Linked DNA regions of Kluyveromyces lactis. The protein of the gene in region 4 purifies or fractionates together with the protein of the main gene of each other region. This does not show direct contact. Links are inferred from orthologs where the notes say so. Each region holds a gene or a part of one and is shown on either strand. Other genes may lie near its edges.

Region 1 (3,975 bases), on a different chromosome or scaffold from region 4:
TGGAACAATTTACCATGGGTGTAGCAGATACTATTCTAGTTAATTCTAATTTTACAAAGCAGGTATTTGCCAAAACGTTCCAGTCACTAGCCGTTGACCCTAAAGTGGTTTACCCTTGTGTAAACGTAGAGCAAGAAGAAATACTTCCTTTAGATAAAGATCTTATGAAGAAGATCTTGAAGAACAATGAAAAGTATTATCTATCTATCAACAGATACGAAAGGAAAAAAAACATTGAATTGGCTATCACTGCTTTTGCACAATCAAAACAACGTACCTCCCATAAACTATTTATATCTGGAGGTTACGATTTGAATAATTCCGAGAATATCGACTATCTAAAAGAATTGGAAACTTTGGCCACTGAATTGAAATTGAAGCACGTTCATCTTTCATATCCAGAATACTCCAAGAGTCCTGACAAGTGTCCATCAAGTAACTTCGCTGATGCTCAAATATTGTTTTTGACTTCTGTGTCATCGTCTCTCAAGGAATTACTATTGCAAAGTACTGAAATGTTGCTATACACTCCTTCTAACGAACACTTTGGAATTGTACCACTCGAGGCTATGAAGTATGGTGTACCTGTTTTGGCAGTAGATACGGGTGGTCCACTAGAAACAGTGGTAGATTACAATGAGACACCTTCTCATATTGATGCAACTGGTTGGTTACGACCATCCGATGCTGATGAATGGTCAAAAGTGTTGGATCAATCCGTAGACATATTTGAAAAGAATCACTCCTTATTCGAAGTTAACGGTCCTAAACGTATTAAGTACTATTTCTCCAGAGAAGCGATGTCCAAAAACTTTGATAATACCATCGACCATATTATTTGGAAGTCAAGAGGAACGCGTTTATGGAGCACATTAGCTCCAGGGCTACTGATGTTCACTGTCCAATATGCTACACTGTTGATAACAGGCGATGCTTCTTGGCCATATTTATTGCTAGCTGCGATTTCTTATTTTGTATTAAGAAGTGTAAAGGCCACTGTGTACTGGATCATCGTTTTCTGTTACCTAAACTATTCAACTTAAAAGCGAAGCCAATCTTAATTTATTATAACGACTTGTGCAAAATATATACACATACCCCTCAAAGTTAAGAGATGAAAAACAGACGTTAACAAGCTATTAAGTTTCTAAATATTACACTAATTAACTCTTCCTCCATATCCATTTACACCAAATTGAACACCAGGTTGATTTGAATTGCTTCGACTTTGAGTATTAACCGGTGAGCCTATTGTTTGCTGCATCAACTTAGAAGCCGTATCTAGTTGAGCACTGGCGTCTTCCATTCTTTTCTTCTGCAGGAGTTTCTGTTGCTGTTGTTGCATTATTAGCTGTTGAGTTTGAATATCCCGAGGGGTGATGCCCTGGGTCATCATGGGTTGTTGCCCTGCAGGTTTTCCAGCCTGAACTGACTGTGGAATTTGCATTTGCATTTGAGATAACGATCCGGTAGCACTAGATTGTCGTTGCCGCTGTTGTTGTTGCTGTTGTTGCTGCTGCTGCTGCTGTTGTTGTTTCAAACGTTGGGCCTGTAATATTTGAAGCTGTTCTGGTGTCAAGTTTTGAGGTGATGCGTTAATAGGTTGAGGCGTACGTATACGGAACGTATAATCAGTCGTTCTATCAATGTCAATAAGACCGACCCTTGAGCGGAACGCACCAACTCCAGGGCTCTTAAAGCCTGGTTTTATACTGAAAGCAGACCCAAACATTTCTCTCATTCTGACGTACTTGGTTCTTGATCGTGTAGAAGTCAATACCGTAGTTTCTAACGGTAGTGGGTATGAACGTGAAACACCGTTCAAAACCAGAGTAGTCTCTTCTTCAGGGGACAATTTGGGTAATGACTCATTGACCACTTCATTGCTGCTGGTTTTCCCAGTGTTTTTATCTTTCCCCTTTTGTTTAACTTGTGGATCCTGCTGATTTTGCTGTGCCTTTTGGATTCTAGTCTTGGACGCCGAAGATTTCAACTGGTTGCGTTTCTGATAATCAGCTAATAATATGTCAAATGGCTGTGACCGTCCCTCCACTGCACGTTTCGCTCCCATTGAGTGCGATTTACATGTTAATGATCTACCGCAAACACCACCTTCAGGTAATGGTACACCACACTGTTTATCGAAGTTAACCAGATGTGGCTCTGTCGGGTTTCGCTGTTTTATCTTCCTTTGTTTTCTAGTCGATCCAGAAGGAGTGGATGATTTCTGTTTCTTTGAAGGTGAATCGAAATTCTCAGGATCTATCGACGAGGATCTCTTATTACTCCCCTTACTTTTAGCAGGAGAAGACATGATATCCTGCGTCTCATTCTTTTTCACAGGCATTTTATCAATACAGTGATTCTCTAAATGATCTATAATAGCTGACACCAATACCGGCTGGTGGCAAGCTGTACAATTCCTATAACGGATATCCTCTTTAGAAACGCCAGATAAAACTTCTGACGGCCTGCTCAAGTATTTTGAACGAATATCCGTGGATGATAAATCCGAACTATTCCCGTTATTCTTAACAATAGACAGTAACTCCTTCCAACCGTTCTTGCTACTTCCTAAATCTTCTAATTGAATGTCTGATCTGATTCCTTTAATCTCTATATTGACACTTGACATGCTCTTGTACCAAAATCAGCCAGGTAAAAAAAAAATGATAGGGAGAATTACGATGGAAATGATGAATGAATTGAGACAAGCTAACAATGATCAAACTGTCCTTACCTAGCTTTCAAAAATAAACCAGAGTCTATCGGTGGTAATGCAAATTGGTGCCTAACTATGGTAAAAATAGCACGTTAAAAAAAAAGAATCTGGTATGAAGTGAGCCCTCAATATTGATTGTACAAAAGTAACTTTTGTGGCAGGTAAATAACACGTTAGAACTATCTCAAAAGCCTTTTAAAATCTTTGGATCACCCGCTCTAAATACTTTCAAGCATCTGAATTCATGTATTATCTTATGAAATGTTTCTGTCCATCGGTATGTTATTCCTGTCGAAATCGTCGACTTTCAGAAAGGGAAACTTGAAAGTTCTTACAATCACGTGATATGACTTAATGGAATGTGTCAATCCCCCACACACCAATTGGTCCGTCGATAATCGAATTGCAAGCTAAATATAACATATTTCAGGATATTAACTTCCTATGGTATGTGTGTTATATAGATTGTCTACGAAATGAAATGACATTTAAATGAAGTGGATTCTTCTTAACAATAAAACGGTTACTTTCAACAAGGTGATATCATGGAATACTGGGACAGTGGCCCATCTTGAGCTAAGGATCCTTTCAGCCACTTCGAATACCCGAAGTCTAAGGTATAGTCTAAAACCTTCAGAGCTATTGAAAATTGGCGGTACAAACGGCACTGCTTTCCGAATGTACTCATCTCGAATTGACACTGAAGCTACCGGATCATCAACGATAATCCCGGTAATGGTCATACTACTGATATATTTGATGTCAATTTCGGAATTGACGGTCCAAAGGTATACGGCAAGGTTGTTTTCTTGCAAGTATGGTAATACAGTTTTCTTGAAATCGGGTTTCCAAGAGTTAATGAAATGAAGACTGACACCATGCAACTTGTAGTTGTCATCGCTCAAGGATTTAGAGTATTCGACAAATTTAGTAGCCATCGCTGTGAAGGGTAAGATGGCCACGATCTTGAAACCCTTCAGTGTGGCCGTGGTGACCCCGTATTTGTACCAATCAAGTTGCCACAATCCGAACATCAAACGTTGCCTCCAGAAATCTAAATCATCGACTACTGCTCTCATTTCAAGAATCGCCTTGATTAAAAGAACCTTATCATTTGTAGGCTTGATATCCAACATAAATTTCATTGTAGGGTGTTCTTTTAACCATTGTAAGGCGTCCTTGAATGTCGTTATCCTGATTTCTGGATTTATCTTACTCTTCAACAGTAGTAATTCATCCAAGTTCGTCTCACC
Region 2 (4,023 bases), on a different chromosome or scaffold from region 4:
AAAGTAAAGTTTATCAAGGAAAAGGGACAGCAATTACTAGAACAGGGCCTCAAGAATGGTCTCAAAGAGTGTGTTAGGTTTTATGTCATAAGCTTCGCCGATTTGAAGAAATATAAGTTTTATTATTGGGTTTGTATGCCTACTTTCCAGTCTGAGGGGTCATCGTACGAAATAATCTCAACAAAATCAATCGAAGATGGTGTAAAGAAGGATATATGGGAGCAGAACAGCTTTATCTCCTGTGTTGTGGATGGAAAGATTCAGGAAGCATCACCTCAGTATCTCAAAGTATGTCAGAAAGTCATCTTCAAGGACTTCAGTCGGCTGAAGGGCATTCCTGCCGCAGTTACTAAGAACTTTCTAACGGTTTGGAGTCAAATATCCACAAGGAATACGTACACCATATGTTTCCTTCGTGATGATAATTCCAGCTTCGCGGCAGAGATCAGAGTTACCGGGAGCAATACAGGATGTCTTAAGGTCAGCGGTTGGGAGAAAAATGGTCTTGGAAAATTAGCTCCGAAATCGGCTGACTTAAGCTCATTGATGGATCCCGTGAAGATAGCAGAACAATCCATTGATCTCAATCTCAAGCTAATGAAATGGAGGATTGCTCCTGACATTGATCTAGAAAGAATAAAGAACATTAAAGCATTGATCTTGGGGTCAGGTACCCTAGGTTGCTACGTGGCTAGAGCTTTATTAGCTTGGGGTACTCGTCATGTAACTTTTGTCGACAACAGCACTGTCTCTTTCTCTAATCCGGTAAGGCAACCATTATTCAACTTTGAAGATTGTGGGCGACCAAAGGCCGAAGCTGCCAGTGACTCTCTGAAGAAGATATTTCCTTCTGTCGTTTCTGCAGGTTATCAATTGGAAATACCAATGATAGGACATCCTGTATCGAACGAAAGCAAGCAGAGGAAGGATTATGAAATTTTGGACGAGCTTATAAGGACGCATGATGTTATATTTCTTTTAATGGATGCACGCGAGACGAGATGGCTTCCCTCGGTGCTTGGACGAATGCATGAAAAAATAGTTATTAATGCGGCCCTTGGTTTTGACAGTTATTTGGTAATGAGACATGGCAACAATAATGACAACCTGGGTTGCTATTTCTGTAACGATATCGTGGCCCCAAGTGATTCTCTAACTGACAGAACATTAGATCAGATGTGTACTGTAACTAGACCGGGTGTTGCCCTATTAGCGGCTTCCCAGGCTGTTGAATTATTGGTGACATATCTTCAGCCTTCGACGAACGTGCTTGGGTCAGCTCCGCATCAAATACGAGGATTTCTAAATGAATTTAAAACTGTAAAACTTGAAACACCGGCATATCAGCACTGTTGTGCAAGCAATGAAAATGTCATTTTAACTCTAAAGGAAAACGGATGGAATTTCGTGAAACAGGCGCTAGATGATTATAAGTGTGTGGAGCAATTAAGTGGACTGTCGAAGGTGCAAGAGGAGGCTGAATTGGCAATTCAAGAAGATATTTCCTTTGATGACGACGAGGAATTGTCAATAGAGTGAAGTATAGCCAGTGCATCTGACAGGCTGATGCGTGGAATGATGTGACATGCATTCCTTTTGTGATGAAGCGTAGAAATCGATATTCGTCGTTAGGAAAAGGTGTTTATCTCTGATTTAACGGTCAGGATGAAATTTAGTTTTATAATTCCCAAGATAAATATAAGTCTTGCACAATTTGCAGCGTATTACGCCATGACGGGCTTGGTACACCTACATAACTGGGCCTTTTTCCGTGATCCATCAGCTTATACCAGGCATGTTTTAGATGTAGACTAAACTCGTTATCCGACTGTGGTGTACGGATGTATAAATCAACTTGAAAAATTACCAAAGCATACAAGAACGGGAATATATATTAGGTCGAGTAGACAGGATAAATAGTCACACGTAGACAAGATAAATAGTCACACGTAGACAAGAAGCTAAGCACCAAATGCCACCGAAGAGACGCCACCATGGTGCTGGAAGAGTCCAGAATAAGAGGGGAAAAGTTGACACTGTAAAAGAGGAAATCAAACCCAAAGATGAGCCTGTGGAAACTGAAATCGATGGCGGATCTGCAGTTGATGAAGATGTTACCGATGATTTAGAACACAAGACGAGCAAGGAAGACCAGAAGGAAGACCAGAAGGAAGAGGACGGACCTATAGATGCACAGAACGGAACTTCTGAAACAAAAGTTGCGGGGGAATCCGTAAAAACAGTGGAAGACAAAATCGAATCAGTTACAACGAATGAAGAGGTCGTTGAATCACCAGTCAATGACTACAATGCCAGTAGTACAACTACCAAGGCTGAAGAGAAACAATTAGAGGAAGAAGCAAATGAAAAGACGGATACATCTCCTATAGTTGAAAATGAGGTCGTTGATGAAGAGGCCGGCACAACAAAATTTGACTTTGATGGTCAAGAATACAGTTATAAAGACAGACCTAGTGTAATAGAAGAGAAGGAAGGAAAGATTGAATTCAGAGTGGTTAATAATGATAATAGCAAGGAAAATATGATGGTTTTAACAGGGTTAAAGAATATCTTTCAAAAGCAATTGCCTAAGATGCCCAAAGAATATATTGCTCGTTTAGTTTACGATCGTTCACATCTTTCTATGGCCGTGGTACGGAAACCGTTGACTGTTGTTGGTGGAATAACCTATAGACCTTTTGATAAAAGAGAGTTCGCAGAAATTGTCTTCTGTGCTATTAGTTCGACCGAACAAGTCAGAGGTTACGGTGCACATTTAATGAATCATTTAAAAGATTACGTGAGGGCAACATCGCCAATAAAGTATTTTCTAACATATGCGGATAATTATGCTATCGGGTATTTCAAGAAGCAGGGATTCACGAAAGAGATCACATTGGACAAGAATGTCTGGATGGGATACATAAAGGATTATGAAGGTGGTACCTTAATGCAATGTTCCATGCTGCCAAGAATCCGGTATCTTGATGCAGCAAAAATCCTCTTATTGCAAGAAGCAGCAATTAGAAGGAAAATTCGTAGCATTTCTCAATCTCACATAGTTCGTCCAGGTTTGAAACAGTTCTTGGATCTTGATAATATAAAACCCATCGATCCAATGACAATACCTGGTTTAAAAGAAGCTGGCTGGACTCCAGAAATGGACGAACTGGCGCAGAGACCAAAACGTGGCCCTCATTATGCAGCAATGCAAAATCTTCTCACCGAATTGCAAAATCATGCAGCGGCATGGCCCTTTTTGCAACCCGTCAATAAGGAAGAAGTCCCCGACTATTACGAATTTATTAAGGAACCAATGGATTTGAGTTCTATGGAAATGAAACTAAACGGGAACAGATACGAAAAGATGGAAAATTTCATATATGATGCAAGGTTAATATTTAACAATTGTCGTGCGTACAACGGTGAAAACACATCTTATTTCAAGTACGCAAATCGTCTAGAAAAATTCTTCAATTCTAAAGTCAAAGAGATTCCAGAGTATTCACATCTTGTGGATTAATACTAACGATAATGAAATACTAATTTGTCGATATCTTTGCGTACCTGAACAGTCTACATGGCGAAAGTTGGCACATATATATATGATATGTATAAATATACATATACCGAAAGTGTAACATTAAAAGGCTCAGAAGGAGCTCCTGTATGTATACAAGCAATCCATGATTAGAGAAATAATGAAATTTTATAATCGATTTTCTGTTGATTAATAACGTGTTTCGAAAGACAAGGAGTGTAATCTATCACTCCATTTCGACATCCGAATGTTCGGACCCAGGAGGCTTCTCCTCCTTTTCCTTTTCCTTTAACTCTTTTATAATTTCAGCAGTTTTCTCATCTGAATAGATTTGAAATCCCTCTTTTGTGATACTGCTCAATTGTGCATTATTTTCATCTAATTTCTCTTCCATTACTTGCTTTAAGATCTTTAACACCAGCGATTCCGCCTCTTTCAAAGTAAGCGATGAATGCCATTCGTTTTGTAATTCTGATTGTGCA
Region 3 (4,706 bases), about 970 kb from region 4:
TCGATCTCCGCTCTTGAATCTAAAATCCTACCGACCAATATTCTACTCTCAAATGTGACCGTACTTTCTTCAAGATTAGATACCTCCACCCAAGTTTTCTGTTTCCTTTTGATATGTATCCAAATTAACATTCTACTGCCGACGATGGAAAAGTATTTCATAAAGAATAAGTTGAAATTCCTGCATATACTATGTGTTATTGCGACACATGGTACAGTCTACTATTTTATAACGAAGTTAATGGGTGTCGGGATCACGATACCTTTGGGAATATCATCTTTGTTACTATTATTTGGAATCCCTCATTACTATATCCACTGGGAAAGCTACTATTATAAAGGACATCCGATTTTACAGCAGTGGGACGCTGAAAAACCAATATTAGATTAGTTATTAGGATTCTGTTAACATTTACATTTCATTGACTGCATTGATATCAATGCACATAAAATATACGTACTCATTGTAAATAATATAAAGATAAAGCGCATTCTCTTTTTTTTTATTTATTACAATTGGACAACTACTAGATATGTCGAATAAACGACCCTTATCTGGCTGAGTAAAGTAATCGCATTTACTCAATAAATGCACCACCAGCCAAAACTAGGTTCGTTCTTGTGAATTTTACTTTGTGAATTGCTGTTTTCTTTGTATGGAACGAAGCCATCAAATCCTGAGTTGGTATTACTGCCCGCCTACGTCCGAATTCTTTGATATCGTTATTTACACTGAGTTCCATATCTCCTGAATACGTGTTGAATTGTTGTTCCGGCTCCATTCCAGGCTCGTTTGTAAACCTCTTTATATCCCAAACTCTAACACTTTGATCCGCACCACCTGTTACTAGACAGTTACCTTCTTTGTTAAAAGTTATGGAATAGATAGGATTCTTACCGTGACCCTTCATCTGTTTGATTCTTTTACCAGTACCAATATCCCATACGATAATTGTGCCATCCTCACTGCCCGTAGTTAACCACCTACCGTCAGGCGATACTTCAAGTGCGGTGACTGGTGATGTATGTCCCAAAAACAGTCTAACAGAATCACCTGTTTGAATATCCCACATACGGCACGTTTTGTCGCTGGAACCAGTGAAAACATAGCAACCATTTGGATGGAAAGTGCTACAATCCACGTCATTTAGATGACCTGAGAAAATTCTCAACGGATAGATATGATCACAAGACCATAGTCTAGCCGTTTGATCATGTGAAGCGGTGATGAAATAATGGCCAAGTGGAGAAAACTTGACGTACCATACTGGATGGTTATGGCCTTTGTAACACACTAGGCAAGTGAACGTATCTAAAGACCAAAGTCTGACAGTTTTATCTTCAGATGCGCTAAGTAAGTACCTGTTATCCGGGCTGAATGCAACGGAATAAACTGGTCCGCTGTGTCCTACCAAAGTAGCAGAGTTCGATTGGTCTTTAGCTTTGGATGGGAGGATCGACTGTAGCGGTGATCCATCAAGGTACCATACCTTAATTGTACTGTCTTGGAAACCAGCTGCAGTTAGTCTAGCATCATCACTAAATTCTACGCAAGTCATATTACCATTAGTGTTGTGGAAAGTGTACATACACACACTTGGTGCAGAAGTTTGTAGGTTTTTCAATTGGATGGAATCTCTACTCTCCCTTACTTTTTGAATTTCCATCTTTAGATCTAAAGTTGTTTTTACCGGTAGCGGCAACGAATCCTTTGCTGGTGATTCCATCATAGATCCAATTGAAGCCTCTGGTTTTTCTTCCTCGTCTTTATTCTTTGAGTCTCTTTTCTTTCTTTCAGCAGCCGATGATTCGACACTAAGTGTAGGAGTGCCTTTCTCTTCTGTATCTGCTGTTGCATCGACTTCTTCTCCACCCTCTTCAGCTTCAGGTTCCTTATTTTCATTTTCTTCCTTAACGGTGTTATCATCAGCTTTTTCAGTGCCCTCTGGTTTGTTCTGATTACCGTTCATTTCTCTATATTCCTCAACTAATGTCTTACCGACAGGTTTATCCTTATTCTCAGCTGCCTCTTGTTCATCTTTTTTCTGCAACTCAATCTCTACTTCCTTGGTGAACTCTTCGTCCTTTGGATACGGTCCTAACTTCACAGGTACCGAGTTATACGTATCAACATCAATATCACCGGTTGAGATATCTTTGATCCCGTCGGTGAGAATATCCTCAGATTTGACAACATCTACGATATTTGGATCCAAGTTTTGGTTTATGATGGAAATCAACAAAGATCCTCCCACACTTTCGTTTTCGTTCAAGAAATACAACAAAAGGTTCAAAGTAGTTCTTGAGATTGTGATCTTATATTTATTGGTTTGGAAACCTTGAGCCAACTCATTTTCCTTGATGTGATCTACTGAGTTGACACTGAATAATCGGTTAATTTCTGATCCATGAAGGGCTTTGTAATCGACAGAATACTTGTCAAAGAATCTTCTCGCTTGTAAGGGGTCCTTGATGACCAACTGTAAAAAAACGTAAATGAAAATCGGGTATATGATACGTGATAGCTCAGGTTTGTACAATTCTAAAGACGAATCGATCCAATTTTTCAACATTGAGTAAGCTCTAAAATAGTGCAAGGGTGTCACCTGTTGCGGTTTTATCAATTGGCCGTTGTTATCTCTTTTCAAGGGCATCGAAGGATTTGAAACAGGTTTTGCAGTGGTAGTACTTCCTGTAATCGCAGTGGCTGATGCAGACGAGGCAGGGATTGTGTTAGAAGCAGCAGCGTTTTTATTTGGAGGCGTCAAAGTACGTGACGATTCAGCACGAAGCATCTGTTCCGTTCTGTGATACCCCTTCTTATTCAAATATTCCAAAACGATGCGGTTCAAATCTGACGCTGAAAACCCCGGTTTAGAAGCTGCCGGTGCATTCCCACTGGCACCGCTACCGCCAGCATTGGCATTAGCGCTAGCATTTCCGGCCGCACTACTATTTCCATTGCCACTACTTCCGCCTGCACCGGGAGCCGTGGCTCCTGACGCTCCCCCAGCTGCATCGCCTGCCTTGTTTCCCTGTTGTTTGCCGTTCGAAGACATATTAAGCAAGCCGGAAACTGTGCTAAGAGGTTCTTCTCTTTCACGCTTTTTTTTTTTAAAAGGCTAAGCAAGTATACCTAGTTCCTTATTCAGCTTACTCCTAAGCTCAAGTACTGGTATAGTTCAAGCTTGCTAAGGCAATGATTTAGCAATCATTTGCTGTTTATTTGTTTACTTATTCATTCACATTTTTCAGTTTTATTTTTTTCCATATTCAACTTTCAACCTGGAAACTACTCTCAGACACAAAGTAACTGGCATTTAGAGATCTGAATTAAAGGTCACGTTTTACGGATTCAAGAATTATCTTTTCAGTACATCTCCGGGTAACAGGTTGAACAGCCCCGGAGTCCACAGCACGTTTTTAGACTTCGATTCGAACTTTATTTTAATTTTTACTCGCAGAACGCAGTTAAGCTACATATCTAGAGAACCCAGTATAAAATATATGTGTACAGAGAAACAGTGGGGAGAGGCTTTAAAGGGTCGGGAATTTTGCAGTGGCCTTGGGTGGGTAAATGAAGATCCCTATTTCACGATGCCAAAGCCATACCCCCCACAAATGACTTCCTTTTCGTTTTTCCATCCAGGGGTAGGAGTCCAGTAATTGGATCTGGATTCGTGTTTTTCAACTTCCAAAGAAGGGATGCTTATTTTGCGGGATGCCAGTTACCAATGTACATACTACGGGGGTACCTTCATTTGACGTGGCAATTGGAGGTAATGCGTGCCGCGTCTGTAATATAACAGAAATTATAAGTCACGTTGCCCTTATTTTACTATTTCGTTACCCGGTTCATGTAAAAATAATCCCATTGGGGTTCCACTAATGTCAGGAGACGAAGTTGAACAGCAATGAAACGGTGAAGTTGGGAAAAAAAACAAGAATTCAAGCACGAAAGTTGGAAAATTAAAGGAATTCGCCTTCTTCTCAGTTCTGATACTTGTCTTTCCATCGTCAAACGTTGCTCCATCTCATCGCAAGGCCCATCAGATACACTAGCAAACCGTTCTAAAACGCCAGCTGCTTCTTCTATAGAAAAGCCATACGCCGTTGAGTCACTGCGTGAGTGAATCAGTAGGTCTGTGAGTAGGATAATCTTTCCTATTGTACGTCGATTTAGATTTGCCAAAAAAGCGTTTGTTTCTAGTGCAGAAATCAGGGTATTTTTTCCTGCTTATTCAATTTCGGTGAACAAAGGCAACCAGGAAGATACAGAGTCAGCGGTGAGAAAGACATTGGACGAGGCATTCCAGTGGAAGATTTGATCTAAACAAGTTTGGCAAACCAATTATCGCCGTCCTTTTTTCTTTTCTCTGTTTTCTTTCCCTTTTGATATCTTTCCGGAAGCTGGAATCAGCTTTTAGTTTGAAACCATTCTGAGTTTTGAAGCTTTCTTACTGTTTCAGAACCATTAGGTAATCCTTCCCTTCGCGTTTCCAGGGAACGGGTGGGACGTTGTGCTCGAGTCAAAGGAGTGTTTGCCCCAGGTTTTCTGTACAATTGACTTAAGGATACCACTTTTTTTTTCTTGTTTCGGTTCGTGTTGTCACTTCCGCTTTTACCTTTAACAATCATATAAAGGAAGTTCGATTAACGGTTGGTGATTTCGTTTGACATTTTAAATTCCACGTTAGGGGAAAATTA
Region 4 (4,176 bases):
ATTCTTTGAACCTTAGCGGTTGTTGTGAATTTTTGGGTTTATTTGGATTTTGTAGTGCTCTAATCAAAGAAATTTTATGACATATATGCCTAATCTCATGTATCAACTGGATATTCGTGTTCATTTTTGGACTCAACCCCTTATCGACAGTATTCAACAAAGAGCTCTTCATTACTTTTCCTTCCTTCATAATTTTTTGAACCATAGCTTCCTCAGCTTTATCTAATTGTTCTTTCCCAATACCTGTATATGCCAAGTCCGGGATATAATTAGTGATGTTGTACTCTGTCAATAACGAAGAATCTTCGAGAGTGATTTCATTCGATTCTTTAGTCAAGGAACTTTCGGCATCTTGTGATTTAACGTTCGTGTCAGAAAAATTCGATACACTGCTATCTGCTTGGTTCATTATTGCCCCAAAACCGTTTTTCATCATTGACTGTTCTTGTAATTTTTGTCTTGCAAATTCTGCTTCTTTCTGTTGCTTATACTCCTCGAAGAACTGATCAAAATTCTTTAATTTAGAAGGATTTTTCAAGAGGGCATCAGATTCGGAATTAATTTTGTGTTCGTTGAACAATTGTGATCTTTTCAAACAAATTTCAGCACGGGCTTTGGCTGTAAGTGTTTTCCATGTGGACAATTCCAGATCGTCCTTATCGTCATCTCGTTCAAGAAGCATCATTCCAGCGGCATTATCTTCTTCATCTTCATCCTCTTCCTCTTCCTCTTCTTCTGCATCCTCATGTTCTTGGTTTTTTTCAACAGTTGACACTGCTTTACTTTCAACTGCTGGTTCAGTAGATTCGTTATTAGTCGAAGATTGAGCCACTTTGGAGCCTCTCCCCTCTGCAGAAACTATGCCAACTTCTGGCGTTTGTTCAGCTTCGTTAGTGGAAGGTGTTTTGTCACTGCTTACTGTTTTATTGGTGGATTGTTGTTGATTCCGTTCAGCATCAGTTGCTCGTGTTTTTTTACCTCCAGGATGGTTCTCTTCCATTTCTTCTTCTTCATCGTCAATAACCTTTTGAACACCACGTCTCTGAATACCCTTACGACCTGAACCAGCATCCTCTTCATCGTCTTTAATGTTGCTCTCGGCGTCTATATCTTCTAGTTCTTTTTCAACTTGCGCTCTATCACGGATTGTTATATCTGGTATTAGTGGTACTAGTTGTTGAGATTTCTTCTGCATCGCAATTGCATGGGCTCTCAAGAAATGCTTAGGATCCGAGTTATACGTGAGGCAGTTTCTCCATATTAACATAATATCATCAACAAACTCATGTTTAGATTTATACTGAAAAGTTTTGAGCTTCTTCAGCACAGTGTTCAAATCCATTGGTTTTTTAATTATTTGGTAATAGTTTGGAGCTTCTCTCTTGCTGACTTTGTTAAGAAATGCAGTAGAATGCTCTGTGAAATTTCTGAGTTCCAGTACCACCTTCTCGCATGCATCGTATAATTCTTCTTGTCCAATTTTATCTTCAGAAGCCCATTTAGATCTGTTCATTCTAACATCCATTAATAAATGTTTAAGTTCGTAATCTGAAATATCTAGCTTACTTTTATTTTCCTGTACCGATTTGAGCAAATGCCTTAATGACAGATTTACGACACCGAGGTCCATTTGGATATCTGCTTTAGTCTTAGTATTGATCTTCTTATCTGCCGCAGACTTATGATGAGATATGCTAGGGTTCCCTGAGTCATCCTCTTCTTCGTCTTCAATCTGTTCGTGAGACCTTTTCCTTGAGCTTTCTAGCATTTGATCATTTTCCTGAAGTTTTAAACGCCTCATAGTGGTCTCTTTATCATTGTCAAAGAGATGATATATTTTGTGAAAGTTACCGATGATATCGTAGGTATTTACAGATGGAAGTTCGTTCAAAGTTTCCTTTGAGATGATGAAATGCAGTCTTATGAGTCCGTTATCAAGTTGCTCGTAAATTGGCGATTCAGTTTCATCTGACACTTTGGGTTTCTCATCAAGATCATTAGGATGAGAGATTTTTCCATTTTCTGTATCATTTTTTTCTATCTTTTGAGGATCTTCTTCAGCATCATCGTAATTATCCTCGTCGTCGTCATCATCATCTTCATCATAGTTATCATCTTCATCAGAGCCTTCTTTGTTTTCGCTATTCTTGCTCACTTCTTTCATAGTCAAGGGTGCTGTGTCATTTGTAGGAAGCGTGGAAGAGTTGGGAACCGCACTTTGATCTATAAGAGTATTATTACTTCCATCCTCTATTACAGCGCTATCATTATCCGTGTCAAGTAGAAGGTATTCTGAGGATGTTTCTGGCTCAAGGAGAGTGAGTCCATGTTCCCATACAACGTACCTGACTTTCATAGATAAATTTCCTATAAAATCCAGTCCATCTAGCTGGGCCTTCAATTGTTCCAAATCGATCATATCACTGTCGTCATCGTCAACACTTTGGTTATCAGTCGAATCATGTAAAGGAGTGCCAGTTCTCGAGAGTCCAGAACTAGCTTGAGGTTGTTGTTGTGTTGATAATGATGGTAATCTGGTAGCCGCTACCAAATCATTAGTGGCACCTTTGTCGGAAGTTGCATTAAGAGTTGTATTCAGTTCTACAAATAGTTCCAACTTGCCGGAGAGAAACGCATCCCATATAAGTGTCTTTGATTCTTGGTCTGGTAGACTCAACAAGTACTTCAATAAAAGTAACTGACTCGGATTGAGGTGCTTTTTAAATACATCATCTGCGAATAACTTCTGGATGGTTCGAAGTATTGCGGCGGCATCGGACCGCTGGTAACTTGTAATCATGGACAGTCAACTTTTTCCGCAGAAAGAACCACTAGAGTAAATAAAGAGTAGTTTTGAAGGAAAATTCTGAATCAATTCCTTCACTACCAGCTCGCTTGCCTCTCGTTTTACTGATACAAGCTGTAAACGGCACGACTTTTGAGTGTATGGTCCGAATCTTGTTTGTCCATCAGTTGCACCGATTGTCTGTGTTTTCCAAAATTCACGAAATGTCAAAAAACATCAAAACGTATAAAGTGATATTGGGACAGTCATACGGCTTATTCGTTTCAGCGGCGCTTAGCCTTAACATACAAGAGTTGAGTATCCAACAGCTCTACCCAGTTGTATCTATATATATAGGACTAGTTGTGGTAGGTTTTTAGTACCTAGGTAAGCATTGATAAATTGATTTTCACTAGCTAGAATGATCAGGCGTATGTCTCTCCATTTCTATAATTGTGACCAAATTGGCACATTCAGAAACCAATGTCTGTGGACAAAAACCAGTCTTGAAAAGTCTTGAAAAATCTTGTATAATTATAACCAATGGTTCTAGCTTACCTGTCGGAAACAGTCGTCTAATGGAAATGAAATATATCAAAATTATACGGTATATATACCTACATGTACCATGAGCACATACACAATATAATATAAAGAAAATTGGTGCGTTAATATATATACTATTCTTTCTAATACTTTAAACCTTGAAAGCTTGAAGTTGAGAATTGTGTCAGAAGAAGTCCAAAACGATGTGAGTTGAAAGTACCGATAACAAAAAGGGGTAGGATATACAATGGTGGAAGGTTTGAGTATTTTTTTAGTCGGATTAAGATGATATTACTTTCCGCCGAACCCTGTCCTTTTGTAGTATTCTTTTCTTCGGTTCATTCTTCTTTTTTTTTTGTTATATTTCTTTCAAATAGCATACTTCTTAGTCCATTCTCTAGCAGTAGCCTCGTACTTAGCTCTATCGGTCTTATACAAATGAGCGATTTCAGGGACCAAAGGATCATCAGGGTTAGCGTCTGTTAGAAGAGAACAAATGGACAACAAGACCTTAGAGATAGTTAAAGCTGGAGACCATTGATCTTTTAGGATATCTAGACAGATGTTACCATTAGCGTTGATATTTGGGTGGTAGATCTTAGTGGTGAAAGAGATCTTTGGTGGTTTGAAGGGGTAATCTGTTGGGAAATGGATTGATAGGAAGAAAACACCGCCTGCATATGGGGAATCTGGAGGACCCATGATAGAGGCTTGCCAGTGATATACATCATCACCTACTGGACCAGCAGAGCATGAAGTTGGGGGGTCTCTGGAGGGAAAAAAGAGGGAAATGCGATTTTTTCCAATAGAATGTTAGTAAAAGAGAAAAAGTGGGATTAACAGAG
Region 5 (2,869 bases), on a different chromosome or scaffold from region 4:
TATATAATCCATTGCAATAGATCTGGGGATCCTATACGTAGAGTGCAAATACTTCAGCATTTCATCTGACGTGGTTCCTACAGCCATATTAGTATAATACCTTGCGATGTGAGAAAAGATCGCCGTATCCAAATAGTACAATTTCTGAGGGTTTATCTTGTTCACATAAACAGAATCCAATTGAAACTCATTCAAGGGCTTGACGCACGCCTTTGAAAACTTCCGGTAAGTGCTGATAGAAGAGTTTAAGGATTTCTTCATGGAAGAATCCCAGTTCTTATGAGATTTCGCTAGTTTCTCCCTAATAACAAGACGTTTCTGTGGACTTGATCCATGCTTCAGCAAATGCGCTTTCAATTTCTTCAACTGGATCTTAAAGTCGTGCACTTCTTCAACACATTTCCCAAGCTGGGTCCTGCGCTCGTCTTTATCAACGTATAATCTGGAATTGACCCATTGTTGATCTAAAGTCTCTAGCAAAGTCGACATAAGTAACTCAGTTTAATTCTCTGAAGGGTACTTGCTAGTTCTAGTGTCTCTAACTTTCCGCTCTTCTGTAGAGTAACACCTGACAACTCTTTACACCGTTATAATGATGGGTTAAAGATCGTTATCACAGGTTTAAGGGTACAGGGTACGATGCTGGACAACTTGATTTGAAATGACACACATTATGGGTTTGGGGGAAGATTTAAGGCTGCACTAAGGCTGGGTAATGAAATCTCACCTTCTACCACGTGATAAGCATCTAACGAGATGAGCAGCGAACCTGTTCCCACTAACTTCCCGTCCACAGACATTACATTCGATGTAAACGGCGGAGTCTGCTTGCTTTGCCTTACCGTGTATATCCAATGTTCCTGACGGGTCAGCGTAATACGGTTTAGCATCCGGGAATTGCAGTTTCAGAAGCTTTCTCTTCACTGTTTGACGCGAGATGATATCTTGGATGATAGAAGTAAGAATGTTCTGATATATGGAATCGGCAACCGAATCTGTGGTCAAAGAAGCAGTCATGGTTACAGCCACCTCTTGATAGTTGCAAATACTGAATAAGTCAAGTCAGTACTGTTGTCTTATGTCTGATCGTAGAACAGAATTGATTGTTTCAATATCAAAGTAAGCTAATTTGACCTTGCTTTTCTATTAAAATTGGATATTGCAGAAAATTGACGATAAGCACAGGGAATACAAGCAGAATACAAGAGACAACAGTCGACATGTTAGCGGCTACAATGCCTGATACCATGCATCTCATTACGGACAGATATTAATAGTATACTTGTAATAAATATGGGGATAAATAAAACGTACATACAAAGCGGAAAGAGATAGAGAGAGAGAAAGAAAGCACAGCTAATTCTCTCTATAACTTTGCATTCAATGCAGCAGCCTTTCTTGGGGATAAGCTCAGAGCTTCCTTTTTGATGTTTTCAGATAGACCACGGTCGACTCTTGCAAACATGGCAAATACACGGTCTTGGATTTCAGGGCATGCACTTGCTACGTGTACTGCGACATTGTGGGCCAATGCCTTTTGTTGACCTGGCTGTTTGCTCAACACTTTGTTATACAAGTCTCTGGCTTGAACGAAATCGATGTCTCCTGGTGAGGTTGCCCAATGTACAGGCATTGCAGGCCCAGACCATACTTCTTGATGTTGTTGAATTGGCTTTGATTGTTGAATGAATTGGTACTTCTTAGAAGTAGACAAATAGTTTGGCTCTTTGCCCAAATTGCCGTTAACGTTCATTGGGCCATCTCTGATAGCTGGGTTGAAAACCTTCGATGCATATGGACAATTAACAGGGATTTGAGAATAGTTAGGGCCTAATCTGTAACGATGGGCATCTGGATAAGAGAACAAACGTGCTTGTAAGACAGGGTCAGCAGAAGCTTCTTGGTATGGGACGGTGTGCGATGGGGAGAATGCAGCCTGTTCCACTTGAGCGAAGTAATTTTCTGGATTTTCATTCAAAACCATCTTACCTACACGACGCAATGGGAACTGCTTATGAGGCCAAACTTTTGTTAGATCGAATACAGAGAATGGCAATTTTTCTGCCTCTTCTTCGGTCATAGTTTGAATGTAAAGGGTCCAAGATGGGTAATTACCCTTGGCGATGTTTTCAAACAAATCCTTTTGACAGTAGTCAGGGTTTTCACCAGCCAACTTAGTCGCCTCCTCGTTGTTCAAGTTCTTAATACCTTGATCTGTCTTCAAATGCACTTGCACGTAGCGCCATTCACCTTGCTTGTTAGACCATTTGTAAGTATGACCCGAGTAACTGTTCATGTTACGATAAGAAGCTGGAGTACCACGATCGGAGAACAAGATCATCACTTGATGAATTGCGACTTGATTCTCCTCTGTCGTCAAAAAGTCCCAAAACATGTCAGCATCCTTCATATTGGTTTCTGGGTTTCTCTTTTGAGTATGAATGAAATGTGGGAACTTAGAAGGATCTCTGATGAAGAAGACTGGCGTGTTGTTGTTGACCCAGTCGACATTCCCTTCTTCACTATAGAACTTGATAGCGAACCCTCTTGGGTCACGTGCCGTATCGGCAGAACCCTTCTCACCACCAACAGTACTAAATCTAACAAGGCATCGCGTTCTCTTCCCCACGGTATCGAACATCGCTGAACCGCACACGTCCGTGATATCATCTGTAATTTCTAAGTACCCAAACGCACCTGATCCATGAGCATGAGGGTTACGTTCTGGAATCCGTTCTCTGTTGAAATGAGCTAACGAATCAAGAAGGTTAAAATCCTGCAACAACAAAGGACCATGCTGTCCTACACGTTGCGTAGCAAATGGTTCATTAATTGGAGCACCTTGAGAGTTTGTGACCACACGGTCTTT

The links.
Region 1: the proteins of SPT7 (region 4) and SGF73 purify together in Saccharomyces cerevisiae (affinity purification with mass spectrometry; 17 studies listed by BioGRID, with this or other methods). This does not show direct contact. The link is inferred for Kluyveromyces lactis from reciprocal best matches to the Saccharomyces cerevisiae genes SPT7 and SGF73.
Region 2: the proteins of SPT7 (region 4) and GCN5 purify together in Saccharomyces cerevisiae (affinity purification with mass spectrometry; 28 studies listed by BioGRID, with this or other methods). This does not show direct contact. The link is inferred for Kluyveromyces lactis from reciprocal best matches to the Saccharomyces cerevisiae genes SPT7 and GCN5.
Region 3: the proteins of SPT7 (region 4) and TAF5 purify together in Saccharomyces cerevisiae (affinity purification with mass spectrometry; 25 studies listed by BioGRID, with this or other methods). This does not show direct contact. The link is inferred for Kluyveromyces lactis from reciprocal best matches to the Saccharomyces cerevisiae genes SPT7 and TAF5.
Region 5: the proteins of SPT7 (region 4) and SGF11 purify together in Saccharomyces cerevisiae (affinity purification with mass spectrometry; 11 studies listed by BioGRID, with this or other methods). This does not show direct contact. The link is inferred for Kluyveromyces lactis from reciprocal best matches to the Saccharomyces cerevisiae genes SPT7 and SGF11.

What each region holds. Positions count from the first base shown.
Region 1 is NC_006038.1:213,584-217,558, forward strand, and holds SGF73 (deubiquitination module subunit SGF73), read right to left. Parts: upstream 2,636-3,975; coding exon 1,160-2,635; downstream 1-1,159. Other genes in the region: ALG2 (GDP-Man:Man(1)GlcNAc(2)-PP-dolichol alpha-1,3-mannosyltransferase), read left to right, coding at 1-1,043; PGC1 (phosphatidylglycerol phospholipase), read right to left, coding at 3,211-3,975. UniProt on the Saccharomyces cerevisiae protein: Component of the transcription coactivator SAGA complex. SAGA acts as a general cofactor required for essentially all RNA polymerase II transcription. At the promoters, SAGA is required for transcription pre-initiation complex (PIC) recruitment.
Region 2 is NC_006037.1:454,956-458,978, reverse strand, and holds GCN5 (histone acetyltransferase GCN5), read left to right. Parts: upstream 1-1,972; coding exon 1,973-3,523; downstream 3,524-4,023. Other genes in the region: ATG7 (Atg7p), read left to right, coding at 1-1,539; PUP2 (proteasome core particle subunit alpha 5), read right to left, coding at 3,768-4,023. UniProt on the Saccharomyces cerevisiae protein: Histone acetyltransferase that acetylates histone H2B to form H2BK11ac and H2BK16ac, histone H3 to form H3K9ac, H3K14ac, H3K18ac, H3K23ac, H3K27ac and H3K36ac, with a lower preference histone H4 to form H4K8ac and H4K16ac, and contributes to H2A.Z acetylation.
Region 3 is NC_006041.1:2,086,868-2,091,573, reverse strand, and holds TAF5 (chromatin modification protein), read right to left. Parts: upstream 3,059-4,706; coding exon 578-3,058; downstream 1-577. Other genes in the region: GPI2 (phosphatidylinositol N-acetylglucosaminyltransferase), read left to right, coding at 1-390. UniProt on the Saccharomyces cerevisiae protein: Functions as a component of both the DNA-binding general transcription initiation factor complex TFIID and the transcription coactivator SAGA complex.
Region 4 is NC_006041.1:1,117,266-1,121,441, reverse strand, and holds the start of SPT7 (SAGA histone acetyltransferase complex subunit SPT7), read right to left. Parts: upstream 2,801-4,176; coding exon 1-2,800. Other genes in the region: KLLA0_E12563g (uncharacterized protein), read right to left, coding at 3,701-4,100. UniProt on the Saccharomyces cerevisiae protein: Component of the transcription coactivator SAGA complex. SAGA acts as a general cofactor required for essentially all RNA polymerase II transcription. At the promoters, SAGA is required for transcription pre-initiation complex (PIC) recruitment.
Region 5 is NC_006040.1:996,818-999,686, reverse strand, and holds SGF11 (SAGA histone acetyltransferase complex subunit SGF11), read right to left. Parts: upstream 1,018-2,869; coding exon 724-1,017; downstream 1-723. Other genes in the region: ubiquitin-protein ligase RMD5, read right to left, coding at 1-489; CTA1 (catalase A), read right to left, coding at 1,367-2,869. UniProt on the Saccharomyces cerevisiae protein: Component of the transcription coactivator SAGA complex. SAGA acts as a general cofactor required for essentially all RNA polymerase II transcription. At the promoters, SAGA is required for transcription pre-initiation complex (PIC) recruitment.